Linked DNA regions of Arabidopsis thaliana. The protein of the gene in region 4 binds, or shares a complex with, the protein of the main gene of each other region. Each region holds a gene or a part of one and is shown on either strand. Other genes may lie near its edges.

What was found.
Region 1: AT3G08880 (region 4) and AT1G61000 share a complex: the UniProt entries of both Arabidopsis thaliana proteins name them as parts of the NDC80 complex.
Region 2: AT3G08880 (region 4) and AT3G48210 share a complex: the UniProt entries of both Arabidopsis thaliana proteins name them as parts of the NDC80 complex.
Region 3: AT3G08880 (region 4) and AT3G54630 share a complex: the UniProt entries of both Arabidopsis thaliana proteins name them as parts of the NDC80 complex.

The regions. Positions count from the first base shown.
Region 1 is NC_003070.9:22,468,899-22,477,846, forward strand, and holds AT1G61000 (kinetochore protein), read right to left. Parts: upstream 5,290-8,948; 5' UTR 5,149-5,289; coding exon 4,985-5,148; intron 4,731-4,984; coding exon 4,512-4,730; intron 4,394-4,511; coding exon 4,303-4,393; intron 4,236-4,302; coding exon 4,056-4,235; intron 3,884-4,055; coding exon 3,794-3,883; intron 3,714-3,793; coding exon 3,606-3,713; intron 3,185-3,605; coding exon 3,131-3,184; intron 2,964-3,130; coding exon 2,849-2,963; intron 2,760-2,848; coding exon 2,602-2,759; intron 2,506-2,601; coding exon 2,410-2,505; intron 2,246-2,409; coding exon 2,198-2,245; 3' UTR 1,930-2,197; downstream 1-1,929. Other genes in the region: AT1G60995 (S3 self-incompatibility locus-linked pollen protein), read right to left, coding at 335-531, 625-730, 912-974, 1,525-1,677; CPSF73-I (cleavage and polyadenylation specificity factor 73-I), read right to left, coding at 6,056-7,699, 7,837-7,986, 8,076-8,121, 8,429-8,526, 8,619-8,762. UniProt on the Arabidopsis thaliana protein: Acts as a component of the essential kinetochore-associated NDC80 complex, which is required for chromosome segregation and spindle checkpoint activity to ensure proper cell division.
Region 2 is NC_003074.8:17,846,319-17,853,915, reverse strand, and holds AT3G48210 (kinetochore protein), read right to left. Parts: upstream 4,566-7,597; 5' UTR 4,482-4,565; coding exon 4,298-4,481; intron 4,130-4,297; coding exon 4,064-4,129; intron 3,918-4,063; coding exon 3,771-3,917; intron 3,604-3,770; coding exon 3,490-3,603; intron 3,397-3,489; coding exon 3,307-3,396; intron 3,199-3,306; coding exon 3,076-3,198; intron 2,958-3,075; coding exon 2,746-2,957; intron 2,532-2,745; coding exon 2,520-2,531; 3' UTR 2,131-2,519; downstream 1-2,130. Other genes in the region: AT3G48220 (F-box protein), read left to right, coding at 359-402, 1,032-1,632; AT3G48209 (Plant thionin family protein), read right to left, coding at 6,032-6,235; AT3G48208 (Plant thionin family protein), read right to left, coding at 7,483-7,522. UniProt on the Arabidopsis thaliana protein: Acts as a component of the essential kinetochore-associated NDC80 complex, which is required for chromosome segregation and spindle checkpoint activity to ensure proper cell division.
Region 3 is NC_003074.8:20,218,810-20,226,096, forward strand, and holds AT3G54630 (kinetochore protein), read right to left. Parts: upstream 4,220-7,287; 5' UTR 4,093-4,219; coding exon 2,386-4,092; 3' UTR 2,288-2,385; downstream 1-2,287. Other genes in the region: BZIP25 (basic leucine zipper 25), read right to left, coding at 256-442, 909-969, 1,077-1,532; TSA1 (tryptophan synthase alpha chain), read right to left, coding at 4,522-4,656, 4,734-4,793, 4,890-4,967, 5,061-5,138, 5,468-5,653, 5,746-5,811, 5,905-6,051, 6,306-6,494; FBL17 (RNI-like superfamily protein), read right to left, coding at 7,195-7,266. UniProt on the Arabidopsis thaliana protein: Acts as a component of the essential kinetochore-associated NDC80 complex, which is required for chromosome segregation and spindle checkpoint activity to ensure proper cell division.
Region 4 is NC_003074.8:2,699,453-2,706,553, reverse strand, and holds AT3G08880 (plectin-like protein), read right to left. Parts: upstream 3,582-7,101; 5' UTR 3,386-3,581; coding exon 3,208-3,385; intron 3,108-3,207; coding exon 2,966-3,107; intron 2,875-2,965; coding exon 2,773-2,874; intron 2,685-2,772; coding exon 2,611-2,684; intron 2,499-2,610; coding exon 2,389-2,498; 3' UTR 1,740-2,388; downstream 1-1,739. Other genes in the region: AT3G08870 (Concanavalin A-like lectin protein kinase family protein), read left to right, coding at 3,910-6,054. UniProt on the Arabidopsis thaliana protein: Acts as a component of the essential kinetochore-associated NDC80 complex, which is required for chromosome segregation and spindle checkpoint activity to ensure proper cell division. Required for the maintenance of plant architecture.

The DNA.
Region 1 (8,948 bases), on a different chromosome or scaffold from region 4:
ATAACAGATATCACAAGAGCTAAATTAGTAGCTAGACCTAAGTCCATTTTCCTCAAAAAATCAAGGGGAAATCTTCACACCCTGATGATTGAGCCACGTGCCAGTTAAATTTTTAGTAACATATATTTCCGATCAAAGGAACGCCGCTTAAGAACCCTGCTTTATAAGTGATATACCAAAAACATCCAACAGAAACCTCCCAGAGAAAATACAACATATATATATATATATATATATTACATGACAGCCATACGCACTATCTAAGTCAGAATCTGAGAAACAAAAAGGAAATGAAACAAAGAGGCGTTGTTACACATTCTAAGAGATAACTCACCCATATTTTTCTAACACCTCTGAGGATCCGTGCTGTATGCTGTAAAACGAAAGATATGCGCCTGTAACACTTTTTAAGAAAGCGAAGAATAGCTGCTCTGACATTCTCTTTTGCAGACACTGAGAAACTACTGCGGGGCTCTTCCTTATCAATTTTCACAAATGTATCATCGGTATTTTCTTCACTGGTAGAGCTTTCTGCATGATTGCAAAAGAGGCAGTGTCAGTACCTGCAAACGTCAAAGATATTGAGCTCCTACAAACAGTCTATCCAAACCAATAAAAAAACACCTTGATCAGTCTTTGACACTTCTAAACTATCAGTTGCAGCAACAACTCGAGGAACATCTGCAGCAGTACTTTCATCATTACGTGACCACAACCCTGCACTTGTTATCTATATCACAGAAAATCAGTTGGTTAGAGAACTAAGGATGAATAGAAATTTTATTTGTGGCTAACTGATTTCAAGAAAGAGTTTTCCAAAGTACGAGTGAGGAACCAGTTCAAAGCCTAGAAAATCTAAAATTTTTCACTAATTATGCATGCTAGCATCAGAAGCGATAATAGCTACATACCTTGATTTGCATAAGCTCTGCTTCAGCTAACTCAACTCCAGTCAGCTCACTTGAACAACCAGGCTTTAATAATAATCAAAAAAATTAACGAAATTAGTTAGAGAGAAACAATAATGGTCAGATAAGAGAAGCTTAGGAGAGTCTAGCAAAGATAAATCTTAGGAAGGCATGCACACTACACGAAACTCTTAAAGTAGAAGAGAGCTAAGCCAACAGATATTTGATTTTTGAAGTTTGCAATCTTAGAAGTATTCAAATGCATTTGCATAGGCCGTAATTCCTATTGGAAAGTGTACTAATGTTTACATAAACATAAACACAAAGAAATCAGAAAAGTATCTTCCGTCGGATTTATATAATTATGACCAGTGCAACCTTAGTAAAGATACAAACAGTAGTCTCCTAACCACGCTCATGCGAACATGTTCTACAGAATTAGCTTAAGCTCCACAATTCATATCAGATTACTCCTAACACAGAAAAATGCTACATCATCCTTTTCAAATTGTAGTATCTCAGACTTAAAATTTCAACAATGAAGTCATTAACAAAGGCAATTTGCACTAAAAACGACCTATAAATTAAAGGATTCAATACGAGAGTCAAAAATTACCTGCTGAACATAATTGGCGTGCATAACAACGAGGATACAGAACAAAGTGATGGCAACGAAGAGGTAAGTATACTCTAAGAAACCTCTAATCCTTGGCGTTAAGATCTGCGAAAACCTCTCCTGAACCCTAATAAACGTCTGCTCCGGATCCATATTTCGGATCTCCGATGCACTTTTTCGTCTTCTTCGTTAACACTACGTAGTCATCGAATTTGAATTGCTCCGTTGCGAGGATCGTAGATTTCTTCTCGTTCTGGGAGATTGTCGAATCCACAGAAATTGAAGAGTGAAGATGATTGAAAAGAAAAGCACCGCGAAGCAAATTTTACACTTTGTTTGCTGTTAAATTGTTTTTATTTTTCTTCAAAAATCCCTAGTGAGAGTGGCGCAATTGGGAAAGCGATAGGATTCTTTTGCTTCCAGGACAAGAGTTCGATTCCTTCAACACAACCATAAAGCTCTCATTTTCTCTTCATTTTTTTTCTGTTAACATTCTTTTATAAACTACTTCAATACATGCCATTTCCATGAAGAGAAATTCATAACATTTTCCAACTTTAATACAATCACAAGAGGAATTTAGTAGTCAAATTCTTAACCATTTGCAGAGAAAATGTGCTCATTACAATCTCTCGTCTACCTTAATTTAGATGAATCAGACCTTCCTTGTCCTTTAGAGGCTTGGTAGAAACGCATCAAACGACACCGTGTATTCATGAAACTGCAAATATCAAAAGCAAGGCTCACTAATATGTCTTACAGAGAATCTGGAAGAACCCTAGTAGCTTTTTAACTTTGGAAACCTCTTTAACTTGATGCACCACAAAGCTTTTGTTTCCATGGTTCAATATATTAGCAGATAAAAATAATGGAAACGAAATAAACCTGCTTCACGATCTCTTCATATTTAGCGGCTAGTTTTTTAACTTTAGCTTCTCCTGACTGTCTCACCTGGTTAGTCTTCGCAGTATTGTCATCAACCTGTTGATATATAAACAAATAAAACTTACGGAGATGATAAAGCATCGTGCACAACAGATTCACGTTGTTAGATGTTCGATAGAAAGGAAGCAATACCATAGCTACTACTGATTCAACATTCGTTTGCCTGGTTTCAAGTTCACGTCTTCTGGATTCAACCTCCACTTTTAATTCATTCAACTGTTTCGTCCAATCATCAAACATGACTGCTTTTTCTTTCTCTAGTTGTTTCAATGATTCGTTCAACTGTTCCACTGTTGACAGAAGAGATGATTACAGTCTCCGTCCCAAAACAAAATTCAGAAACAATATCTGAAGAAGGAAGAAATAAACCAACACTTGCCTATTCTTTCCCGCTCAACCACTTTCGCCTCAAGTGATTTGTATGCTACCCCATCCTCACTCAGCTTATCTTTAAGAGCTTTGAATTCTTTCTCAACCGTTTTCGCATTGGTTACCTGTAACATCATCAAATATACATAAAAATGAAAGATAAATCTAAAGACACATTAGATCTCATTCCAATAATTGGAAGGATCTGTGTGTTGCCACATGCTAGAGATACAATACATGGTTCACAATCTATAAGCAATGAAAGAGGAAAGGAGTTTTTTTGCTTGGTCACCTGTTCGTTTATTAACTGCAGTTGCGAAGATGACTTTAAAATTTTCTTCAAGGCCTGCAAAAGGCAACCATAGTTGAATAAACTTTATTACCTCAATATTAAAGCAAAACTTATTCGACTCAAAAATAAAGCATAAAACTGTTGCAAGACAAAACATAAGAAAATTTTGAAGTAACAACACAGAATAAGGTCTCAATCTAATATTTTCCATCTTGGGATCATTCTCATCCACTATACAACAAAATAAAAGAAGTTCTTCCTAAAGCTTCTGGACAGAATTTCATGAAGTATGAACAAAAGTGATAGAGCAATAAACACACCAAACTTAGAAGAATAATGACTTGAAATATCCTTCTCTAAAAACTGGTTTGAGAGCAGTATCCGCAGTGACCATTAAGTTGCAAATGTCGTAAATGCATTTAGCTACTTGCTAAGCGACAGGATTTAGTAACAATCTAGAGTTTTCATTAGATACCTTTTCAAAAACCTCAAGAATGGCAGCCTTTTCCTGGAAAGTTACCATTGCTGATTGTTCAGCTTTCTTTGTTTCCCCAAGTACTAGTTTCTTCTCTTCTAAAGCTCCCTGTCTCCACAACAAACGTTTATACTAGTGTATACCAAAAGTTTATCTTAGGACTAGTACTAGTTGGAATAAAAATATACCTGCAATTTGTCCGGTGATTGAACAATTTGTGAGCGGAGGTTTGCATTTTCTTGGACAGTTTCCACAAGATCAAACTCTGCTTTGGAAATCTGTAGAGAGAAATACACATGTCAGGAGCAGAAAACGCCTCTCAAGTTCAAGCATATGCAAATCACCTAATTGACAAACAAAATTTGTTTCTTCACCAACTTCATAATAAATTACAAATAACCCAATTTAGTTTGAGGAAGGAGCTCGACACCATATCCTGCGGTTACGTACCTCGTTATCCATCTGTGTACTCTTCTCTCTCATTTTCTGGAAGGTAGCTCGCAGTGACATCTGCTGATTATTTAGTTCCAATATTTTTTTATTCAGTTGTTCAATGTTCGCTTCTAGCTCTTGGACAAAAGGTAAGTCCCTCTCAACGGCTTCATCAAATTCTCCAATCTCTGCATTCAACTGCATGTACAGCTTTTAGAAAAAGATAAATGACTTATCTATGGGATACATATTTTTCTTGCATTACCTGAGCAACCTTTGCCTCACACTGCTTTCGCTGCTCATCAAGGAGACCCAACTCTTCTGCCTTTGGTCTTATAAGATCCATTTTCGAGTCTCTGGTACGAAAAAAAGATTAAAGAAGATCAAGTGGGACAAATAAGAACTCTCTATTTTAACTTCTTGGTGCATCGAAATAGATACTACAGAGAAGAACTAAGAGCATGAAGGACATACTTGTATAGACCATAGTTCAAAAGTGCGCTGATGAAAAACTCGGTTCGGGATGATTCAGGGCGTAAGAGATCCTTGAAACTAATTGGTAATGGACAATCAAGCATTTCTAACATATCTTTCACTTTGCAATAAAGCTTCATAGCTTGCATTGAAGTGGCATGATGATCTGGATTCTCCAATTGCTCCAAAGCCTCAAAATCAACTTGCCCTTTCTCTTCTCTACAATGTCGAAAAACGCAATTCAAAAAAGAAGCATCATCAGAAATTCCCCCAAATTGAAACAAAAAATAGGGTTTTCAAAATTACTTAGCAGTTCATACAATCAAAAATAGAAAATCCCAAAGATTCAATATTTAACATAATTTCTGACAGAATTCGATGACCTAGCTCGAAACTAGACGAAGAGTTTCAAAATCGAGGGTAAAATTGAGTGAAGAGCTAAGAGAGGAACTAGGGTTTTGAGGAGTACATACTCGTCGAGGGCGTCGAGATAGATAAGAATTCTGGTGTAAAGCTCGGAGACAAAGTCGGAAGTTGGGGTTTTGAGATCGGTCTCTGTAACGCTAGCGATTTGAGCATCCTTGAGCGCCGTGATAATGTCGGAACGAGAGAGCCTCGGGTACTCGTAGGCTGACATAGTTTTCAGTTTTGGTCAGGTTCGGATTTGTTGTGTCTGGATTCGAAGAAACTGAAAATGACAATTTGGAAAGAAATGAAAAAAAAAAAAGAGAGCCTTTGATTTTAGTTGGGTCAGGTTCGATTTGTTTTTTGCATTTGCTTTTCCCGCCTATATGAAACTGCAGTCTCTGCAGATATTGATGCATATTTGGATACGGTAGAACGTAGAAGCTTTTATAAATAAAATTAAAAAAGAAACTTTAATCTACAAAAAAAAAAATTAAGCATTTTAATATTGTAGAGATTTGGTCTTAATATCTTGATGCACTAGACATCTTGCCAAAACATAGAGGTCAAGAGACATTCACTGATGTGAATAATGTATACTTTGTACGTGGAAAAATAATAGAAAATGTGCTCATTACAATCTCTCTTCTACCTTACTTTAGCTCAATCAGACCTGCCTTGTACTTTAGAGGCTTGGTAGAAACGCATCAAACGACACCGTGTATTCATGAAACTGCAAATATCAAAAGCAAGGCTCACTAATATGTCTTACAAAGAATCTGGAAGAAGCCTAGTACTTTTTTAACTTTAGAAACCTCTTAACTTGATGCACCACAAAGCTTTTGCTTCCATATCCTAGATCAGCATAATGATAGAAAAATGCATATGGGAAAAGCACGAATCAGCAAAATGATTTATGAAAAAACCTAAAAAAGTTAAAAACTCATAGTTGATAACATCCATAAGACTTGATCATTATCACAGTAGGGTAGTAGCAAAGTTTCTCAATAAACACCTTCTTAAATAACATCCATTAGACTTGATCATTCACTATTACTAAACATGGGAACAGAAACATCATCAGATGGATAAAACTCTATGATGATTTAAGATACCTCAACGATGACTTTAAAAAGCTACTAAGAAGCTGAGAGAGGGATTGGTTTCACAGCGCTCTGAATCCGCTCAAAAGCTACTCTCACTCTTTCCTTAAGACCTGAATGCTCACTCTCTACCTCTCCACTCTCTTTATCCAGCTGAGCGACATTGCCATCGACCCTAATCACCAGTTTCCCGTTTTCTCCTAGTTTCACATCCCCGAAAAGCGAAACAAGAAGTGCGTATATCACTTTCTCAACTTTCTTCCCGTTCTCTTCCTCGGATTTCACAGCATCTTCTTCTTCCATAACGATCTTGGGGACTTCTCGGCTGATGTTGAGAATCAGAGCTACAATGGAGTCTGAAACCATGTCACTTATTGGATCTGATGACCACTGAAGTGAGATGTGCTTCTCTGACTCTTGTTTCACCGTTACTCTTTCATGAACTTTCAGTGCTGGAAGCCCCGATTCCTCATCTGTTGAAAATTCCACGCTCTCGAAAATCTTCTCCAGGCGATGTTTTATCACACCAAAAGCTCCTACAAACGGGATTGTAATTCGCTGAGTTACAGTTGCTGTTGATAGCTGTGAGAAAACATGGAGTTCGTCAGGTGCCATTATCTGATAAGTGAACCCTTTCTTCACCAGAATCCCGCTTACTGTATCGCCAACATCAGGTGTCTTTTCCGCCAATCTCCCAATGGTTTTCGCCAATTTCTCAGAATTAAAATACATTTCCACTGACTCACAGTTCTTCGGGGTCATGATCTTTGTGTTTCCATCAGGAAACTCTGTTAAGAGCTTCTGTTTGAGCCTCATCATCTCGTTAGCTTCACCGTGAACAAGGATGATGTTAGGAGGCATGAGCTCTTTCAAGAACGTGCTCGTCTGCGCGTAATCTGCATGAGCAGAGAACGATATATAGTGCACTTGCATGTTGAGCGGAGCAGTAAGACCATTCATAAGAGTCACCTCCTTTGGTTCATTAATTATCGTCTTGGCCAGTGTACCTTCCACCATATAACCTGGTATGATACAAGCATTCTTCTTATCTGAACACCAGCTGTCAAAGAGTTGCCTTGAGAGACCGCTTTGAAGACCTCCAGGAGTAGCCATTACCACAGATGGACCGACATCATTAAAATCATCGATGCTGTTTAATGGAGAAATGTGCTTGAACACAAACGGATTAGAATTTGCAAACTGGTTGCGGATTCTGTCGTTCATAGATAATATGTAGGTTTGGTAAACCGCCATACACTTTTTGGCGAGTGGTGATGCATAGTAGATTGGGATATTGTGTAGATCTGGGTGGTTCGCCCAGTATTCATCAAGAATCAAGAGAAGTTCCTGAGCACGGCCCAGTGCAAAAGCCGGGATCAGCACACGTCCACCCTGAGCAACCGTTGAATGGATTACATCAGTGAAGCGTTTCTCACGAATATGACGAGATTGATGAAGCTGGACACCAGAAGTGGATTCAATGATGCATATGTCAGGGGAGAATTGAGGAAGCTCAGCTGCTCTCAGATGTCGGTCTTCCTCACGGGAATAGTCGCCTGTATAGAGGATTCGGACACCAGCTATATCCACCATAAACATGGCTGCACCCAAAACATGGCCTGCCGTGTAACACCAGAACTTTATGCCATTCACTTCAACTGTTTGATGGAAGTCAATTACCTATAGAGGAAATCAAATATAAACCTTAACTCAACAATCACAGTTTTGAAGCAGATTTAATTTCTTTTGAACTTATCCCAAACCTAGTGGAGCAGTCAAAGTATAAACATAGTCATAGAATATAATGCAGTACTAACCTCAATTTTGTCCATAGACTTGTTGATGTCTTGTTCATCGAACAACATATCTTCCACAGACACTTTGCTCACTTTTACATAATCTGTAAGCAACAGCTTGTAGATGGCCTTTGTTGCATGTGTCATGAAAACCCGCCCATTGAATGTCGTCTGATCAAAACATCAATAACCTGAATTAGTTCTCAGCTATGTTTTAACACATCCCAAAAAACAAAATCATTTTGAAAAGAGAAACAAACCTTCTCCAGAAAATAAGGTAGAGATGCTGCATGATCTATATGAAAGCTGCAACCAAAAGCATCAACACATTATATGTTATCTTAACCCAATAAACCTCTTACACAAAACACAAACTCTTTCAAGTAGACAAACAGAGACAGAACAAACTCTAGCCTCCTACAAGCTTGAACTAATTAATCCAAGAAGGTCTCTCTACTACACATCATCCTTCTGTTTTTGTATAAACAAACTTAAACTTCGAAGATTTTGCTCAAATTATCATTCTATTCAAATCAAGACTATCATTTTCTCTTCAAAGTTTCAATTTTTCTTAATGGGTATTAGCCAAAAGAGGAAGAAGAAGGAAACATACTGAGTAATCAAGAGGACATCAATGGAAGAAGGATCAATCTCATCGAAGTAAGGCAACGCAGCCATGCCCGAGTACGCAGGATGAATCCCACAATCAAACTGCACAACACAACCAAAATCAACTATAAGACATGCCCCAACAACAAAATCAAAACACATTTGCTTGATTAGAACAAAACGGAGAAGCTGACCAGAATATTTTTGCCTCGGAAGGACATGTAAACACAGGAACGACCCACTTCACTTCCGGCTCCTAACGGAGTAACGATAAGTTGATCTCCATCTCGCGAAATTGGTTGCTCTCTTCTTTTCAGAGAAGTAGAAGAAGAAGCCATGTTTCGTCTTTCTCGATTTTCCTCCAAGAGAAGAAGAAACTCAAAGAACTGAGTACAGCAATTTCAGTTAGTGTATATCTTCAAACCCTAAAAGCCTTTAAAAAAAAAAAAACGACCACAGTGGGAGTCGAACCCACGACCTTCTGATCCGAAGTCAGACGCGCTAATCCACTGCGCTATGCGGTC
Region 2 (7,597 bases), about 15 Mb from region 4:
CACTTATATAGTTTTCTTCATGACAAAACCTACCCGATCGTAACAGTTGTGTCTTATCCAACAAGTCACAACTCTTACTCACACCCTTTCATAACAAGTCATGGTTAACTCAAACACTTTACACACGAACTAACATATATCTATCATAAGATTTAATCATGGACTCAAATTCTAACAAGAAAGAGTTTGACTTTTAGATAATCACAGTTCTTATAAAACTCAAATATCCAATTTTTAAACAGAAATTGGGTTAACAAGAAGAGAATTTGCATAATTGAGAATTCAGTCGATAAATTCAAACCTTTCCCAATAGAAAACAAAAATCAGGCCACAACTTAAGAAGAAAAAACTAACCACCATGACTGAGAAACAACATGATCAAGCTTCAATGCGAGAAGAAGCGTGAAGGAGAAGAGCAAACAATGCGCTGAATTAGAGACTTCTAGACTCTTCTACGTACAACTCATTACTCTTCTCTGCACCAATATTCAAAGTAACTTCAAGTTTGAAACACATCATGGCTTATCTCAAAATCCATCTCAATTTCACAGTAAGAGAGCCAAAACAAAAACCTAGAAATCTTCCTCAAAACTCATAACTAATAAAAATTAAAACTAACAAACCAATTCGAATGTAAAAGTATAATTTTCTTCTCCAAGTTTTGCTTAGGTGTCAGGTTTGGAGAGACATGGATTTTAGTTTAATTGTATTGATTCAACAATATTGTTAATATTACAAAGAAAAAAAAAATCATTAAAATATACATTGATAACTTTAATTGAACAGAGTAAAGTCGTGTACTCAAAACTCAATTGGGATGGAGACAGAGAATAAGAAGAAGAAGGAGATGATTTGATTTTCTTAACAGATGATCTATGGGCAATTATACTTGCGAGATTACCACTAACAATCATCACCACTTCAAAACTAGTTTGCAAGCAATGGAAATCGCTCGTAGAATCTCCGTTTTTCCGCAAACTTTTCAACACCCACCATCAAAACTCTCATTCTTCATGGTCAATCCTCTGCAGAGTCCTACCTGAAGTAGTCGTGGCTCACTACGAATGCGAAACTTGGGGTCTTCCACGATCTCTAAGTTCTTACATCTCTTCTTTCATAACCCACAAATTCAATACTCAATTCCCAAACGTTACACTCGCCGTGGCTTACACTCATGTTGGATTGATTTTGATCAGCTCTGGCAACAAATTACTAACTTACTATGTGGCTAATCCGATCTCAAGACAATGTGTCGAAATCCCTCAGCCTCCTCCAACAGTTGGTTATTTTTTAACCTCTGGGCTTGTCACAAAACTTGAGGATCACGTCGTTTTAGGTTACAAAGTTGTTTTGATGGATACAAGTAACTTGGACGATGTCATAAGTTTACTGATATATTCATCCGAGACAGGGTTATGGAGTTTCAAAACCCTCCAATCTCATCTCACTTTGTCTGGTCTGATAGATTACAACCCTGTTAGCTTGTATGGAAACCTTTACTGGATAGGCTACAACAACGACTATGGAGAGGTTGTTGTGTTCCATGATTTCTACGCGACTGGCACGGAATCTGATCGATGCCAAGTTACACCTTTCCCTGACGGTGGAACGAAACCACCAAATTTAAAATGAGTTTGCACAACATCTCAAGGATATATCATGTACATGAACATCTTCTCCCAAGACAAAGATGATGCACATGTAGAGCATAAGTTACGTGTATGGAGGCTAAAGAGCCGGGAATGGGAAATAGTATCTGAAATATCTCTAGCTTGTAGTGAGACTGGTTTTGATTACATTCCGCTGGCAATAAACCCTTTTGATGCTAATACAATGTACATGTGGTGCAAGATGCATTCATGTTTGGGGTCTACTAATTTGCGTAAAGACAAGTTCGGGCTTCACAACAGCTTGGAATGTTGCAAAGATTATCAAACTCTGAGTTTTGCTGGGGATTGTAACATGTTGGAAGACCTTTATCACTTATACTTTTCCATGTTCGTTCTCCCGCGTTGGCTACACCAAATCCCTTCTTCGCCTTCATGAGCGAGGTGAAGAGTCGTTTCAAGAGGAACAACGAGTTGGAGAATGGTGTTTGATTTGTTTTCTTGTCTAATTTAAGATAGAAAATATGGTTGTGGCTATATTTTTAGTTTTAAAATTGCATAAACTGTACATCTCTAATGCACAATCTATGGCTCAAGTATCCATCATTATCTCTAATGCGCAATCTTAATGAAGCTAGACAAGCATCCATTAGCTAACGAAATCTAGAAATAGAGAAGCGCGAGATTACATCGATTAAAATCTAGTCCCACAAGCTCCATCATCGATTGGTGTATAAGCATAGCATCCACACTAGTAAAGAAATCAACATTGTCAATAAGCGTGATTACAATGACATTCTAATATTTATAGGAATTTCAAACAACAATCTGTTGTTGTCGAAAGTTCCGCAGCATCATCTACGCTTAAGTTTATTCCTTGATGCTTGTGAAAAGGAAAACAGAGCTCCACCTTCATTTCTTACCCTGTAACAAGTTAGAGTTGCTATATAAGTTGTATGTTAAATACTATAGGCTCCATGTGATCAGTTAAGTATTATTAATCAGATAGAACATTATTATGTCCAGTTGTTATGCAAATAGGTTCTGGTATCCTACTTTTGGAAACTATAGTATCTAACAAATATTTTGAATTTGGTTTGGTGTTGTAACATTTAAGAACACAATGAGTATCCAGTACCTTAAAGCGAGAAGAACGGCGAGTGGCAGATGTGGATACAGGAGCTAGGAGTGGTGATTCGCTACCTCTTTTTTGTCGCCGATTCACTTGAACCTTAGATCTTTTGTTTTCTGGAGTTGACATGTTTGTATCAGTGGAAAATGATATAGCTGGAGCTGAAGCAGATATGGCAGACGTTTCCTGTTGCAGTTGTCCTGAATGTGTTGGCAGCTCTGACAAAATCCAATAAAACACAAGTCTTGGTCATATTCAACTTTTATATATATCGAAAATAAGATTTCTCACTTATGGAGATAGAGGTTATAAAAGGATAGGCTTGAGACAATTTACCAGATAAAGTGGATTTCAGAAACTGCTCCCTCATCAGACGAACAAATCTGAAAAGGTCATTGGTTTTATTCAATTCTTGAACCATCTCGTTGATGTAATCCAATTGCAGATCGCTATCCAATACTGATGATCATATAAGTAAACGACTGTAAACAGTTCATATTACTAGGTTTTTTTGTAAACATTATAATGTAGTTGATGCTTGCTTCAAGAAGACATATATATACTCACGTGTGTAGATGTCATTTCCATAGTGAACTGTGAACGAAAATTCGCGGGTCGGCCTTTTTGCATCAATGTTGGTGAATGTGAATTTAACTCCTGTAAGAGAAGTTAAAACAACAAAGCTCTTTTAGGGCTAAGGTTTAGTAATATAGAACTAAGATTGTTACAAACTCAAAATGTCTCTATTACCATGTCCAGCTTCAACGTGAAAACCGAGAGCATGATTATACCAAGAGATTGCTTCATGAATATCTGCTTTGTCTTCGGTGACTTTACCAGCGTTGTCCTTCGATTTTGACAAGGCTTTATTGGAAGAAATATGTTAGCTTGGTCTTCAGTGATTCATGTGATCTCTTATTGAAACAAGCAGAGTACTTTTTATAGATATCTTCACTTTACAAAATCCCAAAGCATGTAGCTGACTCATGAAACTTGTATGTATAATGAACTTCAGAATTATATAACGATACCTTGCAACTGTTGGGAGATAATTCTCACAGAATCATCCTTCTTTGACTTCTGTAGCTGCAAATTTCTTCTAAGTACTTCAATCCTAGATTGTGTTGCAGAAATGGAATCTCTTATCCCCATTTGCCGTGCCTCTTTACGGGTTTTCACTAAACATCAAACATATAACATCCCAAAGACAGTAAGATATCCAAACTCAGCAAAACAATGTATGTAAGCATGAAAATAACACCAAGGAGAATCTTATGATTTAAGAAACTAAGTTCAAAGTTTCAAGCTTTTGAGGTAATAATACCTGCCAACACTTTAACTAGCTCATCCTCTGCTTCTCTCAGATCCGCTTTCAAATTCATTAGTTCCACTGTAAAATCAAAGAAACATTTCACAGAACCGCTCAATTTTACCAGTCTGATGTCGAAATTTTAAAACCCTAATTTCAGAGAGACAGAGCCTAAACCGTAAAAAAGTGTGAAATTTACGATCTGGGTCATACGGAACTGAGTGGTACTATGCGAATTTTGAATTTTACCTTGGCTTTGAGCAGTGGCTTGAGCTCGCTCCACTAAAGAGTTCATCGATCTCCGGAAAGGAGAAGCGATGAAAGAATCGATTTTAAGACGCTGTTCATGAATATCTTTCTCACAGATGAGACCCAGAGACGCCATAGTCTCTTTCGTTGTGTCTCCACCAGCGATGTTGCTAATTTGTTCCATCACCAAAGAGAGAAAGAGAGAGACTGAATCGAAGTTTAGCCCGCCATTTGAATTTTGATTCGAGTTTCGAAAATATGCTTCAAAACGCGAACCATCGTGATGAGAACTTTAAAACGATGGCGTTTTCATATCGTGCTACGTCCAAATTTATTGGGCTCCTTAAAAGGCTATTCTGAGACAGGCCCATTTGTCTGGTTTCTCGTTTACCGAAAGTAGTTCAGTCATCGGCAAACGTTTGATTTAATACGCGTTTGGCATCAATCACTATTTTGATTTATAACATTTTTAATCGCTCTAAATCAAAACCCTTACTTACAATATAGTTACAATAATATTATTTTTATCATACCAATTTTTCGGAAAATAGTAATATTGAATAGTGTGTGAAAGGTTGAAAATTGAACCGTTAGGATTTTAATTAGTTAGCCGAAGGAGCTGACAAAACCGAATACTACGGTTACACTTTAGAGAGTCAAAGACTCTTTTAATGCATTAACTACGTTTTCTGCATTGCATCATTGCATGTCTTCTCTTCCTTCAAGCAACTAGTCTTTTAATTAACACTAAATACATATTGAACATAACAATTCCTTCGTCTAGTTTCAATATGTATTTTCAGTTTTTTCACGTCCCTAGCTCACTTTAGACCTGCAAAGTGTTTTTTTTTTTAAAATAATAAATTAGAGTATTTTCACTATATATCAGTAGAAATGGGTGCGTATGTTTTTGATAATTAATTCAATAAAACCTGTAATGAGTAGATAAGACAATGAGTTTACTGTGTAAGTAAGCAAAAGGGACAAAAATGTGTTTTGTACATTATTTTGTTCTGTGTTTGTACATTAATTTGTTCTGTTTAGAATTTTTATAGATATTGGACCATGCAGAGGGTGTTAACTTGTTATAGCATTAACCATGTGCTAGATATATAGCATCGGAGCTTAAACGAATTATCAGTGTTAGATAGTTTGCTTGATTACTTCAACTTGAAGTAATCTGGCTGGCTTTATAATTAAGCTATTATCTTATAATTAGGCTATTATCTTTAATTTAATTGAAACTAATACTTTTGAGGAAAACTAATCGGATGAAATATTTCGAAAGAACTTTTTACATTGCAACGCACCCGTCCTGAGAATTAATGCGTTGTTGTCGAAGGAGAAAGGGCCATAAAATATGGATGAAGTAAATCGATCGAAGAAAGTCTTTATAAGGATCAAAATAAGGTTCAAATCCAATATGAATGAATGTTGACCCTAATTTTGGCCTCGGAAATCTTTATGATCATAGGAAAAAATCATTGTACACATCAAAATTTCTTATGAAAAGTAAACTGAGTTTTTGTTCATTACTCTTAATTATTGTAATTCTTTCCTTCCACAACAATAACTTATGAAAAGTAAACTGAGGATATGAGGATCTATCCTATGAGGTTTTCCATTCCTACAGCCTCCATCCTGCAATGTCGCGATAAATATAAATTATTAGTCAACACAAATTAAAAGGTATACTTGATCAATATACGTAAATATATACGAGGTTACGAATTATTACGGAGGAGCTGGAAAGCCACATTTTTCGTGAAGACATTTACGGAGACAAGGGGTCTCAGGGACAGTGATGCGGCCACCACATTGGTCGATGCACATTTGCTTGCATGTTGTTCTTATTATAATTGCTTCTCCTCCTCGTATGGATGCCATCACCACCATCATCATTATCATCATGATCATACTACATTTCTTCATCTCCATTTTTTTTTAGTTTCTTTCCTTTAATTTTTTCCCTGTAAGTGTATGTTTACGTATACATGTCTTTTTTGTCATAGGTGTGTGTGTAGTATATATAAAACTAATGTCCAGAAAAGTTAAAATCATTAATTTAAAGTTTGACTAGACTATAATTAAAAATATTAAAATTTTCTTTATTACTTTTGCAAGTTTGTTTTTGTCAACATTTTTCTTTATTACTTATAATGGTTCTAATTAGATTTCTTTTGATATATATAATTACTTTCAAGTTTCATATAATATTTATATTGAAGGTTAGAAAGAAGAAAAAAAGTCAGTTGCCAGAGTACACATATATAAATGTACATGCATGAGATTATGCTAGAAGAGAAACAAATCTAACTGGACAATTGAAGTTCAATAGCGTAGCCTGGCGGCAAACAAAATGGAGAAACAGTTGAAGTTTAATTTAGCAAATTTTAGGTAATGATGATTGATGGATGTGGGTTTTAATTGATTACATGCTGATGTGGTGATGTAAAGTGTGTGTGCGCGTCAAAGTGAAAATACCTGAAGAAAATTCGAGTGCACTAGTTTTTAATGGGCCGCCTCGACAATTCGAGGTTTTGGACAACAAACCGATCTAAATCTGGATTTTAGTTCCTATTAGCCGTGATTTTAAACATCACATTTGAATGCATTGTTCAAACATTCAAGCATTTGACCAGTTTGAATGTTCTGTTTAATTTTAAATATCAAATTGGTCAAATGTTTGAATAATACACGCAATTGTATAGTAATTTTTTGTGTGTCATTTGAGATTGTTTGAAATTTTGAAAATAAAACGGATGATATAAATATGACTTATTTAAGAGATGGTGGTTAATTTTTGTACGTCTGAGTGAGTTAGTGGACTATAAGTAAATCTTTCATTTGTGTGATTAAAATGGATTAATGAAGTGAGTTATTTTTTTTTTAAGAGGTCACAAATAGACCCACCACTAATACTGTATCTTTGGATTTTGCACCATTTAGTAACTTGACATTTGATATGGTATATTTTCATCTGATCAATTTAATTTTGTTTATAAACTCAAACTGAAAATCCGCCGAACTGAACTGTGAATTCATGTATTAAAAAAAAATCTGTAGAAACAAACATGCCAAGAACACATCTAAACATCCAAGTGTTTTATGACTTACGAACAAAAACTCTATATCATTTTAATCTTTAAAAGCTATATGTTTTTGGTCTAAAAATCAATAATAATCTATCCTCTAATTCCATGATTTTGTGGAGCCTTCATCCTGCTAGAAATCACAAAAAAATGAAAAACCATGTCAGTTTTAGCATATACATAATTAAATTTTATTATCGATAAGACG
Region 3 (7,287 bases), about 18 Mb from region 4:
AAAAATGAATCAGGATGACCTTCGAAAAAGTTAAATATATAGAGCCTGACTGTTTCCTAAGAACAACAGTCACAACATAAAATTGACTGAAACATTCCTCTACTAGATTTCAGTTCTTTCTTTCTCTTTAGAGAGAGTAGAAAGTAGAAACTATTAGGTACAAGCCTTTTCCCAAAAGCATGTCTATATCTATCAGCCTCGAGATTCAGAACGATTACCAGAAACATTCTAAGGTACAAAAATCAAGATTTGTACCTCCTAGCACGCTTCACATCAGTAGGATCTCCATTATCTGCGTCTCCATCAAGATCATCGTCATCAGAATCATCTCGTGATGAAATACTAGTTTGTCTGGCTGGAACATCAGGTTTCTTTTGCGTGCTTGTTGTGGGAGAAAATCTAACAGATGAAGCACCAGGTGAGGTTTGTGCCACAATGGAGCCTAGATAATTTCAAAATAATCCCATTATCCACTAACTGAAAAACATTTCATCCAGGTACATATCACAAGAAGCGGGAAATAAGAAAGCTATCTAGTATAATGCACTAACTTACACTAATAAGAATGGAGAGTCAAAAGGCTAAGAATTCTCATCTAAACGCATAATACTACGTATGCCTTGTTTCTTTCTTCTCAGAGAAAAAATTGACTCGACTAGAACAGAATTAAATATGAATGAACACAGAGAAAGCTGTCATCTCCAAAACAAAGCCTACTTATCTTCAAATTCCCTTAAAGTCTTGAGTTTACTGAGAGAGATTAGCAGTTAATTAATTGTCTAATCAAATTGACAAACAAATCTCGATGAAATGTTTGCTCTCTATGTAATCTAAACATTGACATTGACGAGAGACAAAGCTAGAGAGAGTCAAAAAACCAAAACCAAAACAAAGCAACGATACGTGACCTTGAGCTTGTTTTTGATTGCTAGCTGAAGCACTCGAATCTTCCGGTTTCACAGTTCCCACCTGAAGAAAATCATATCAAATCAACACACAACCAAACATTCCTTATTGTTGAAATCATCAATTCCTTTAATCTGAATACACATAAGAAATGGATCTAAGAGACGTACACGACGAGCAACAGCAGCGCAAGCAAGCTCGAGCTTGCTCTTAAGAATCGCATGATACTGATTAGGATCAACAACAACAGGAGCTGAAGAATCAACCGGATCAGACGACGGAGCACGATTCCGATTCTTCCCTTGATCATCAACAGGGAGCCGTCGATGATTCTGCGGTTTCTGAATCTCAACAACATCTTCGGTTTCGTCAACGGTTTCTTCTAATCTCGAAAGAGACTGAACCGGTGGAGGTGATCTCTCGATTGTGTTAGTCGTAGGGCTCGAATCGGAACCAGACAACTCATTGATAAGCCTGTGGAACGCCCACTCCGATTGACTTCGAGTCATCCCATCCGCCACGTTCTGCGTCGGTGACGGAGTCGATGACGATCCCGGCGACGGCGCCGGAGCGGGAACAGGCCAGAAGGATTCGGTCAAATCATCGACAGAGAAGACGATGTGCATCGCTTACCCAATCGCCTCAAATTCTTCTTCTTCTTTTTTCTCTCTCTCTCTCTCTCTCGCTCTTTCCTTAATTTGTTTTTGTCTTACGTGGAGCCGCCATTATTGATTAGGATACTTGACACGTTTCTGTATTGTATTGGATTAGTACTAACCAACATATCTTTTTTCTGTTAATAATTTAATAAAAATGCAAATTAAGGCATTCAAAGGCATTTTAAATTTCTACTTTAGTTGATGTGTGTCATTTACTTTGTGGGCAAAAGGGTAAGAATAATGTGTTGGCTTTATAGATAAGCAGCTTAGGTTTCCTTTGTCTTTTTTAACTCCTTCCTCTCATTTTCTTGATTTGATAGCTACTCTCTCTTATTCATATCATCAGTAAGATATTCTCACCACATATGATGCATGAGTAAGCAAGCTTTAAACAAGTAAAGGAGGAACTCAGTGAGACTGAAGAAAGTGGTAACCCAAAGAGGTTACAACCGAGGAGCTGCAAACATAGCCTGACTTCAAGAGACCCGAGGGGATAAACCGAATAAGAATCAAAGTCACCTAAGTCAGCTTATGGTAAAAAGAAGGTAAGAGTGTATTCATTGGAAATCCTATGTAACTTGATCATAACAGCGTTCTTTGAGTTAAACATTGTGAATATTAGATTATGTGCCTATCATCTAAGTTTCAATGAAAAAAGAAACACAGATATTTATATACTACTAGCATAGCTGAGCAATTTCAATTATCCATCCTGAAAACTCATACATACCACACATAGATGCTAATACGACTATGTGAACAAAAGCAATAGGAATTACTCACGCTTTTAACAATCTCTTGGCTCAGTTGATTCCAACCACTAGATACCAAGGTTCTTCTTGAAGTTGGCTTTGTATATCTCTGAAACAGCACTGGCAGTATCAGCAACACCGGTTTTGATCTCCGATATCTTCGAATCCATGTACTCTTTCTGTTTCGATATCGAATCGATAAGTGCAAAGAGTTGTGCAGCACATGCTTGGACCTCCTCTTCACTCTCCTTCACTGCTTCTTGCAATCTAAGCTCCGAAGCTTTTACAAACTCAGCAGCTTCTTTCTCCACAACCTCCAGATTCAAAGCCTCAGCTTTCACACTCTCAACCAATGTTTTCGCCTCCAAATCACATTTTGTACTCAACTCCTGAGTTTCCTTCTTCACCAACTTCATCTTTTCTTCGAGGTCATTGATCTGCAACTGAATTGACCCAAGAAGACTCCTTTTGGATTCGATCTTCGAAGCCATTTCAGACTTATGGTGCTGTAAAGTGACCAATTCCTCCACTTTCTCCGCCGAGCTTCCTTTGATCCCATCGCACAACGAACACAGAGCTGGCTTCACCACCGATTTATAATCCACACCCATCACCGCTGCAGGTGTTTCCCCTCTCTCGTTAACAGCGAACTGAATATCAAGCTTCAATCTCCTGAGAGCTTGGTTGCAGTCAATGGCAAGTGTCTGAATCTGATGAAACTGATTCCTAATCTGTGAATTGAGTTCCCAAGCTTTCTGATCCCAACCATCTCTAGCAACCTCAGCATCCGCAACATCTCTTTCCACAGCTTGTAACTCTCTTCTCATCCTATTTACATCCGCCGCGCTAAAGTTCTGAAGCTCCACACTCTTCTTCAACTCCTTATTCTCTACAGAGATTCGCTCTCTCTCTTCTTCCTTAGCTTTGAGCTCCTTAGCTTTCTCCTCCACAACTTTCTCCATCGCTGGATTCCTATCAGTATACTCCACAACAATAGTTCGGAACTTGTTTACGTCATTCTCCAAATCGGCTTTAACTTTCTCCAGAGACTCTTTCTTCGAAGGACCTTTCCTCAGTGACTCAAGTTTAGCCTCCAATTCACCGGAGATTTTCTCACAACCAGAGATAGTTTCAGCGACGCTAGTCTTCTCCGCTTCCAATTTACCCAAAAATTGAGAATCTAAATCGTTAACCTTATCATCCTCGCCGCGAATGAAGTGACCAAAGCTTTGAATCGCGAAGAAATTCATGGAGTTATCTTCGGGTACGGAGGTGGAATTAGATACTAGATGTTGATGGAAACGAGCAAGCTCAGCTAACCAGTGAACAACGGCGAGAACAGTAGGCCAATTGTGAGGCGTATTTGGAGCTTTGAGGCTAGATTTGGTGATCTTAAAAGGACATTTCTGCGATTTGAGAAAGAAGACGAGATCCTCGTCCCATTTGATGGAATCGCAAGGGTAATCTAAAGCTGAGAGCAAGAATTTTAGGGTTTCGGAGATGTCTTTGACAGAAGGAACAGGATTACCGCGGATAGAGATCGGGAAGTTATGTGTGGAGAGGAAGGCGTTAATGAATCGAATCATCGAAGATCTGTCATCGGAGGCTCCTCGGCCGCCTAAACCGATTGATGAAGGACGGCTGCTGGCGAAACTGGCGTCGGAGTCTCTTGAGTTAAAGAGGTGACGTTGTTGCTCGATTGATGGTGGAGGTGGCGGCGGCGCTCCGCCGAAACCCACCGTCGTTCTTCTCTTTCCCGCGGCTCCGCCTCTCATCTCTTTTTTGCTTTTTACAGATAAAGCAACTGACACTGGAACTGGATCGGGAAATATATTTCTATAGAGCAGCGGGATGGATTACTTTTGTAATTTGAATTTTCGAAAACCTAAAAAAACCTCTTCGAATTTCTTTGTTTTTTTATTTCTCATTCATTTCAAAAGAAATTATATATAGGGTTGTTTTGTTCTGGTTTAATCGAACCATAATATCAAACCGGGTCGCAAATTTATCGAACCAAATTGGAAAACAATTTGAGTCATAACGTTTTTATTATTCTGTGTAAACCGAGCAACTGGTTGTGTGGCTTGAGTCACAGTAACTTATTAATCATACTTGAAATGTATCAAAAGATTGAGACATCATTGTCACACACCGATAATAATCAAAAACACAATCTAAAGATGTTGTCTGCAAATGTTTGTGTTTCAAAGAAGAGCAGATTTAAGAGACTTGGTTAGTTTCTCAAGCTCCTTAAGTCCTTCAGTTGGCGACTTTGCATCACCCAATAGCTTTACCATTGCACTGCCTACGATCACTCCATCAGCTCCCCATCCAGCTATCTGTTGACACAACAAAACTAGTCAGCAAAGAAGTAACTATGAAGACAACATAAGAGAAGCTTTGTAAGGTTTAGGACCTGTTTCACATGCTCCGGCTTTGATATTCCAAAACCGACTGCCACCGGCTTGTCTGTCGCCTGCATTGAATTACAAATGACTAAACAACTTGAGCATTTCTACATCATTTCAAGATATTTGAGAAACAATCTTTAAAAAAAAAACTGTTATTAGACCTCTTTGATATCCTTCAAGAGCGACTGAACCTTTCCGCTTACAGATGATCGTGCACCAGTCACTCCAATTGAGCTCACCTGTTAAACCCAAAAAAAGGGCCAATACATTCTCAAATTAAGTAAACACATGTGACATCTGCAAAGAGAAATATACACTGAGAGGGATCTTACAAGGTAAATAAATCCTTCTGACGCATCAACAATTAGCTTCATTCGCTCTGTTGGTGTGGTTGGTGTAGTGAGTAGGACCTTGATTACAAACATTGAGCAAAATTATGTTTACTAAAAGGCAAAGATACTGAAAGCCGAATGTCAAAATAGATCGAGGCAGATCCAGCAAAACACATGTATAGTACTGTAGTCTCAGTGTCTACACTAAACAATGCTTCTACTGTTTCTATTGATAAGGCTGGCAAATAAATCTCCACAGAGACAAATGATACGTAGGTTCAGCTAAGAAAAACCAAATTCGAGGAGACGAAGAAAATAAATAAGATACACAAATGAATCTATACTGCACTGGCATGACTGAGAATCATGCTACCAAGATATATGCGTCCTTCAGATTATATGCTTACCAGCTCAATGTCGTTGTTGAGGGCTTCTTTTCTCAGCATCTCAGTTTCCTCAAGAGGAACATCGGGAACCACAAGTCCCTGTACACCAACAGCTCTGATGCTGGACATGAACTTCCCCAACCCACGTTTAAGAATCGGGTTGTAATACGTGAACAACGAAATCGGACAAGATATTTGTGGAACAACCTGCACCAAGTCCAACAATAAGAACACACATATAGGAACGATATCTGACAGGGGACACAAACACACATCTTTCCTTCAGAAACTAAACTCACCTTATCCAACATCTCAAGGATGCTATCGAGGTTTGTTCCCCTCTCCAACGACCTTGTTGCCGCAGCCTAGTTGAATAGATAACAAAGAGCAAGATGATCAAACAAAAAAAAGGCAAGGGAAGCATATATAAAGGTTGCATTTTGATAGTTGGTTTAAACCTGAATAACAGGTCCATCAGCTAAAGGGTCAGAGTAAGGAACACCCAATTCGATTATGTCAGAACCACAAGCATCAAGAACTTTCAATGCTTCAGCAGTAGTAGAGAGATCCGGATCACCAGCTGTGATATATGGTATGAATGCTACCTTCACACATAAAAGTTAAACAAATTGCAAATGAACTGTAAATTACAAAATCCAATCGTATCAGTAAGACCAAGATTGCAAACCTAATCAAACTCAATGCTAACTCAATCTGATAAGAAGAATTCATAAGCAATAACAACACATGGTTTTGTGATTCTTTCAAATCCAAATTTCCCACCAGAACTAACGATAAGTTTTAAAAGTCCAATTCTTGAGGAACGGATTGGAATATGAAAGACGGAGAATTAACGTACTTTGCCTTGTTTTTTGAGCTGTGTGAAAGTATCAGCGAGACCGAGAGTAGGAGAAGAGGTGGAGAGAGAAGCCATGGGAGTGAATCTCTTGAAAGAAAGCGATGAATCAGGAGGAGAAGAATGGCGGAATCCAATTTGAGATTTTGGGGATTGGAGGAAGAAGACGCCGGATTTGAAAGCAATCGCCATTTGAAAAACTTTGTGGAATTTTGGAAATGAGTTTGGTTGAAGAAGAGCGAGTGTTTATTTTTATATATAAAAACTGAGTAACAGCGATTCCACGTTTGAGATATATGAAAAAAATGAGGTAGGTGAAATCTACCAGCCAAGAGTATTCAGGCGCCGTCACTTACATCTTCGAGCTATTTTGACTTCTGACTTGCTCTTCCATCTTTGTTTTGTAAAAATCAAACACCCATATTTTTGTTTTTCCATTTTGTAAGATATTTGATTTCATTATTAAAATTTGACTAAAGATTATTCTTTGATAAAGATTAGTATATTTGAACTTTCTAAACTATTTGAATAAAAAAAGATGAACAAGATTAGAGTTTGGTGGAGAAGATTAGAGTTGTATATTGTATATGATTTGCGAGAAAGAGAGACCAAATAAATTTGACCAATTATTCTTATGTGAAACAAGTAACAAATCATAAACAAAAGTCTGAAATCAAAGAAAATACCCCTAGTACTCTAGTAGTATATAATTTAAACAAATACAGAATGTTATCATACAATTTATTCGAAGCAATTGGAGAACAATGATAAACATGTAAAGTTGATAAGTGAAACAACAGAAGAGAACGTGATCCAACATAATCTGATGTACACAGTACAGTAAATATAAATATGGTAGACGAAAATTGTGACGAGTCCAATAAAAGGATTATTAATGTATAATGGTACACATTTCTTTCTCCAACTTCCTTCTCTTCCCTGCATAAATACCATCTTCCCTTGTCTGCAAAATATGAAAAAACTT
Region 4 (7,101 bases):
TGTGGATTGTAGAACAAACAATTTAACTTTGTATTAAAGTGTATATAGGGCCAATAGAAGAGAATCAGACAAAGTTTATTACTGACAGTGAAAATAGGATAAGCTTTTATCTGACGTGGACGGAATCTCCTCGTTGACGCCATCCCATTGGATGGCCATGAGGCTACCACACGCCCGTAAATGTGGTTCTATCTAGACCCCAACACGTGGGTCTAATCCAACGGCCACTACACTCGATTCCCTCCTATATTACAAAACCCTTTCTTCTTCATCAGTTCATCATCCACATCGCATGCTGATCAAAGACATAGCTTCAAGGGAATTTCTTCATTTACCACTAAACCCATCATGGCACCACTTCTCCTGCTGGTTCACTGAGATTCCCACAACAGAGGAAACTGGCAAGGAGATCACTGGTGGTGGCAGCAGAAACAGCTGGCTCGATGAGCGGAGTCATATTCGAGCCGTTCGAGGAGGTAAAGAGAGCTTATCTAGCCCTACCAATCACCGCTCTTGTCTCCGTCGCTCACCAAAGATACGCACAAGCTTGTGAGGCAGCTGTTAACGAGCAAATCAAGTAAGCATCATCCAACTTATTAGCTATCAAGACAAAATAAAAAACAACACTTCTACATACAAGTTATCATAGTTAGCAAAGAAAAAGATAGTTGAAGTTAGTAAGATTTTTGTATTTTGTAACTAAAAAATACTCATGTTTCACTAATTCGATGGCACTAAGTCACACCATTGGTATTTTGTTAATGTTACCTCCAAATATTGCCACCTACCTAATTCACCTTCTATTTTGTAACAGGTTGGTTGTGCAGTGGTTGAGACAATGTCTCGTACGTGTACCATGCCATGTATGCGTATTTCGACAGAGAAGACATAACTCTTAAGGGTTTAGCCAAGTATTTATCGTTAAAATTTCATAATCATTCTAAGAAACAGAAAGTTATATATCTTCTCACTAATCCTAATTGCCTTTATAATTGCAGATATGTCAAAGAATCAAGCAACGACGAAAGAGAGCACACAGAGAAGTTCATGGAGTATCAGGTTTCATAATCTTGTTTCACAGTTTCCACAATGATTTTTGTTTCTCACTGTTCCTTCCCTCTTAATCAATAGATATCTAATTTTCCAATGTGGTCCCTAAAGAAGAACTAAGAACCCAAATCTATCTAAAGCCAATAAGCCATTAGTGAAACCAGAAGTTGCAGAAGGTACCCGTTTTGTTAAGAGTCCATTAAGGTGCTAGAATCGTATGTGGTCTTTGCTTCCTCAGAGATTCGAAGATGTGAAGATCATATCTGAAACTGAGATACACGTACGAGATCACTATTAAAGCCAATATTATAGAGACAAGTCACAGATACTATCTGATGACATGTACTTCGATTCTTACCTAAAATGTAATGACATGTTACTTTGTTTCTACAAGATTGACAATTCCTAAGCACAGAAGCTATGAAAAGTTCATGATCTTTTCGTAAAGATTCTCTTTCTTTGTGACTGATCTATTATAGAAGGTTCATAAACTACAAACTACTAAGCCTCATGTACCAGTGAAGATCCGACATGAAATTCCTGTAAAGACTTCATAAATACCATCTGTTGATCATTTCTCTAAATACTTCCGGAAAAACAGTTACCAAACTTGCATGAAATTTGAAAAGGGGAACTGACCATCTTCGTGAGGCAGGCGGTGACAATATTCATCAATAATCCAAAGACTCTGGCTATGAGGATTTGTATCTCTGTGAGACTGTGACTGTTTTCAAGAGACAGGGACAACAAAATTATAACTTCATAGTGTGTACTGTGTACACTCTCGCTAAATTGGATCGAGTTCTCTGGCCTGTAAAATCTACCCCAATATAAGACAGAAAAATGGCAAACCCTAACAAGTTCAATGGTTCAGTGGAGACACTAAGCAGGTTCCACAGTTCAGAAGAGAAGCTAGGTAATAATCCCAAAGTTTGCTAGGCCACCAAGATTTGGATTCAAAATCATTAAATCCTTATGAAAGGCGTTTAAGAATATAATGAAAGCATAGAAACTAAAAAACTGCACTTCTGTTCCTTTAGAATTTGTACAACCTAAATCTGAACTTGTGCATCAATCTGCACAGCAAAAAACGATCAGGAAAACGGCAGGAGCAGCTGCAACATGAACACGGAAACTTGCAGGGGGAAAAATCTTAGATTGATGATGATGTTACAGGAGAAGAAAATTCAAAATCATATAACAAAAATCCAAAGTTAAGTAAAGTAGAAAGTGTTTACATCAACGGAACTGATGGTAGATAAAGAGGTTTTTGGTTGCTAAGCTAAAACCAAGACTGCTCACACATATATCATACAAATGAAGTGGTGCCAAGTATGTTTATTGTTTGTTTATGATGCTCCAGATACTGTTACATGTCTCGTATGCCGTCATCTTATTTGTCTCGAATTGAAACTTCTCAATTAGCCTCTTTTCACGATCTACCATATCTAATATGATTTTCAAAATCAAGGATTCAAAACACCTAAGGATAAAAAGTGAACAATATATATGATTAAGAAAACGTTGATAGAATAGAGTGATGATGAAAGAACAGGATACAGCCTGAGATCTTTGATGGATCATCAATGTCCGGTATAACGTTCGTGACAGAAGCATACATTGATAGCTTTTTCCTGTAGATAAAAAGAGGGAACAATGAGAAAACAAATGTAACGAGCATTCATAACAAGCAACTGCAGTAGTGAGGTTTGTGGATCTTACTCAGCTCTCAAGTCGTCCCTCACTTTTCTCTTTGTAGATTGCTTATGTTCATCTATCGATGACAATTGAGCATTCAGGTCCTTGAGTTCATCAGCGACTAGTGTATTGACAATTAAAAAACCAAAAGATTAATTTTTTCATGTCACTGAATCAACAACTAGGATATTTTCACTCAAAAACAAACAATACTTATCTAAGCTCGTCTTTTAGCTTGAACTCCCGTTCCATCTCTTCGTCAAGCTCTTTCTGAAGACGTTCAATTTCATCTTCAGCCGCAATATCTGAATATGCTTCCTCAGTTTTCTTCTTACAAGCATAGAGTTTCGTCTTACAATCTGCGTCCAAACCAAAAAAATTCCTCGCTCAATCCAGCTAAAGCCACATTATTTATCTAGTAAATTATCTAGAGAACCAAATCGGAAAAACAAAACTGACCTTCAATAGAGCCTTGTATCTGATTGAAATCCTCATGGCAAGCAAAATTGAGAGCTTTGAACTGCTCAGAACTTTGAGATATAATATCAAAACCATTCTTAACATTCAATAAGTTGATCAAATCGTCTCCATAAGACATGAGATCTTCAATATCGAAATTCTCCGACGCATTTCCCATTTCTGCTGCGGAAAATTGAAAAATCAACTATCTAGCAGCAAAAGCCCTAGCTCCACACCTCAAAACCCTCACCAGAAAAATCGTAGATTTCTGATACCACCAAGTAAGTACGTGATATTCTGGAATCTGGAGAGAGGAGGGAGATATGAAGAGGAAAGATCTGAATTTTGATTTTTGATTTTTTTATTCCAAAAGTAAGTTTAATTTGACATAATTAACTGCTAAAAATATATGGACGCTAATATGGGCCAAGCCCATTAGTTTTCACTTTCCATAATGGGCTAACAAAATTTATGACCAATAAGACTCATGTTTAGGCTAAATCATAGCGGTCTTCATCATTTTGTCCACTATTTTGTTTTCTTTTGGTCGAAGATATTGTCAAGTATTAATTATGCAATTACGTGAAATCATGAGAGTCATCTCCTCCACACATATAGCCCAAAAAGACCTTGACTTTGAACATTTCGACTCTTTCGTCGTTGATAGCATAAGAACATGTCCATATTTGAAACTTAAACTCAATGCTCTCTCTTACTAGTTACTTCATACAATCAAAGTCAAAAAGCTCAAGATACCACTACTCAATGGGCATAGCAAGATCCATAAACTCGTTCATGTTCTTCTTCTTTCTAATGATATTATCAAACGCTTCTAAAAGCTCTGTTCTTGCTGAGGCCACGACAGCGAAATTCACATTCATAGGTTTCAAAGAAAACCAAACGGATATTCAAACAGAAGGAGCTTCCACAATCCAACACGACAATGATCTTCTTAGACTAACTAATCGGAAACAAAACGTCACTGGAACAGCGTTTTACCGCAAACCAATCAGATTGCGTGAGTTAACCAATTCCTCCGATATCAAAGTTTGTTCCTTTAGCACTTCTTTCGTCTTCGTCATACTCCCTTCAAGTCCCGGCAACGGTGGTTTTGGTTTCACGTTCACACTTTCTCCGACCCCGAATCGTCCAGGAGCCGAATCTGCACAGTATTTGGGTCTGTTGAACAGAACCAACAACGGTAATCCATCGAATCACGTATTCGCAGTGGAATTCGACACGGTACAAGGATTTAAAGACGGCGCAGACAGAAGAGGAAACCACATCGGTCTTAATTTCAACAACCTCTCCTCCAATGTACAAGAACCACTCATTTACTACGACACAGAGGATCGAAAGGAAGATTTTCAGCTCGAGAGCGGCGAACCAATCCGAGTTCTTATCGATTACGACGGATCCAGCGAAACCTTAAACGTTACAATCTATCCGACGAGATTAGAGTTTAAACCCAAGAAGCCTCTAATCTCGCGACGAGTTTCAGAGCTGTCGGAGATTGTGAAGGATGAAATGTACGTCGGATTCACCGCCGCGACTGGAAAAGACCAGTCGAGTGCTCACTATGTAATGGGTTGGAGTTTTTCAAGCTGCGGAGAAAATCCAATGGCGGATTGGCTCGAGATCTCGCGGCTTCCTCCTCCACCTCGCTTGAGTAACAAGAAAGGTTACAATTCTCAAGTCATTGTTTTGATTGTTGCTTTATCGATCGTCACACTGGTCTTGCTTGTGTTACTATTTATATTTGTGATGTACAAAAGGCGAATCCAAGAAGAAGATACTCTAGAGGATTGGGAGATTGATTATCCTCATAGGTTTAGATACAGAGATCTCTACTTAGCAACGAAGAAATTCAAAGAGAGTGAGATTATCGGTACTGGAGGATTTGGAATCGTTTACAGAGGAAATCTATCTTCTTCGGGTCCAATCGCAGTGAAGAAGATAACCTCAAATAGCTTACAAGGTGTTCGAGAATTTATGGCAGAGATCGAGAGTTTAGGAAGATTAGGTCATAAGAACCTCGTGAATCTTCAAGGATGGTGCAAACACAAGAACGAGCTCTTGTTAATTTACGATTATATACCCAACGGAAGTCTCGACTCGTTGCTGTACCAAACGCCGAGAAGAAACGGCATCGTGTTGCCGTGGGACGTGCGTTTCGAGATCATAAAGGGAATCGCGTCGGGACTGTTGTACCTTCATGAGGAATGGGAACAGATCGTGGTTCATAGAGACGTGAAACCGAGCAATGTTCTTATTGATGAAGATATGAACGCTAAATTAGGCGATTTTGGACTCGCGAGGCTTTATGAACGCGGAACGTTAACGCAGACCACGAAAATCGTTGGCACTTTAGGGTACATGGCGCCTGAGCTCACACGTAACGGTAAAGGCTCAACCGCGTCTGACGTTTTCGCGTTTGGCGTTTTGTTGTTAGAAATAGTGTGTGGGAATAAACCAACGAATGCAGAGAACTTCTTCTTAGCTGATTGGGTAATGGAATTTCATACTAATGGTGGAATCCTTTGCGTCGTGGATCAGAATCTCGGGTCTAGTTTCAATGGCAGAGAGGCTAAACTAGCTCTTGTTGTGGGGTTACTATGTTGCCATCAGAAACCAAAATTTAGGCCATCGATGAGAATGGTGCTTAGATATTTGAATGGTGAAGAGAATGTTCCACAGATTGATGAAAATTGGGGATTCTCGGATTCTTCGAGAGACGATCATAAATCGAATGTTGTAGGTTATGTTTCGTCTGATAGAGCCTCGAGCTCGAATACTTTTTCGTCTTTCTCCAATGTTTCTTCAAGCTCTATCGTTAGTGGTAGATAGTTTCATAGCACTTTTAGCATAGCTTATTTATTTTCTAGAAACAGAACATTTTGTATGTTTTTACTATTTATGCTAAGAAGGAACTAAATGTATGACGTGTGTGTCGATTATGTCTTATTATGGACCAGTGAACCCATTACCCATATTACTAAGTGAATGATAGATACAACTTGTACAATACAAGGGTTCATTGTTTCCAGCTTTATTAGGTACAATATTATTTTTGCATTACTAAAAACAGACTTTTCTTTTGTCTAAACATTTTTTTGTAAATTATAACATAAAATGCAAATAGCAAACAAAATATATTTTCTTATTCCAATGCAAACAAAATATCTTTCTTATTCCGTTTTAGTTTGCTTTTGTTATCAACTCAAGACTTTGATCGGTGACTTAAAACAAATGTTAAAAAGACGATCCAATCCCTCATATATGATTGAAAACTTTGATACAAAATGAGATTGACAGAAGATAAGACTAACAGGTCCGTTCTAGATTCTTTCCAAACGTAACAGCATGATTGGATCATTTTAAGCAATTTCAAGTGGAGAAAATAGAAAAATATTGTGTGTTGCCCAATTATTTCAATCAACAATTCAAAATTATTATGATATGGGCTTGGTAGGTTGATGGTTTCACTTTCATAACACAACGACAAGTGAACTACGAACCTATGCCTCAGTTTGTGTCCAGGTTCATGATGGACATGCCTATAATTAGAAACGTGTATTGAAAGAAAGCGTCTAAACTTTGCAATTGGCTACAGAAGTTTTAAAACAATGATTGCGTTGTGAACATTACTGAATTTTCATAACAACTCAAACCATTTTTTACAAATATTACGACACAGTTGTTTTGTTACTGTGATATCTGTTGTTTCTATGCTTTAAAATTTAAATAAACAACTGTGATTCGTTGTATAGAACCGTGTATCAGACTATCACTATCCTACAAGTTAATTAATTACGCCAAAAACAAGTTAATTACGCCAATCAAACTAAAGAAAACTATAATAATAGCGTGACTCTATGGTTTGGTACTTTGGTT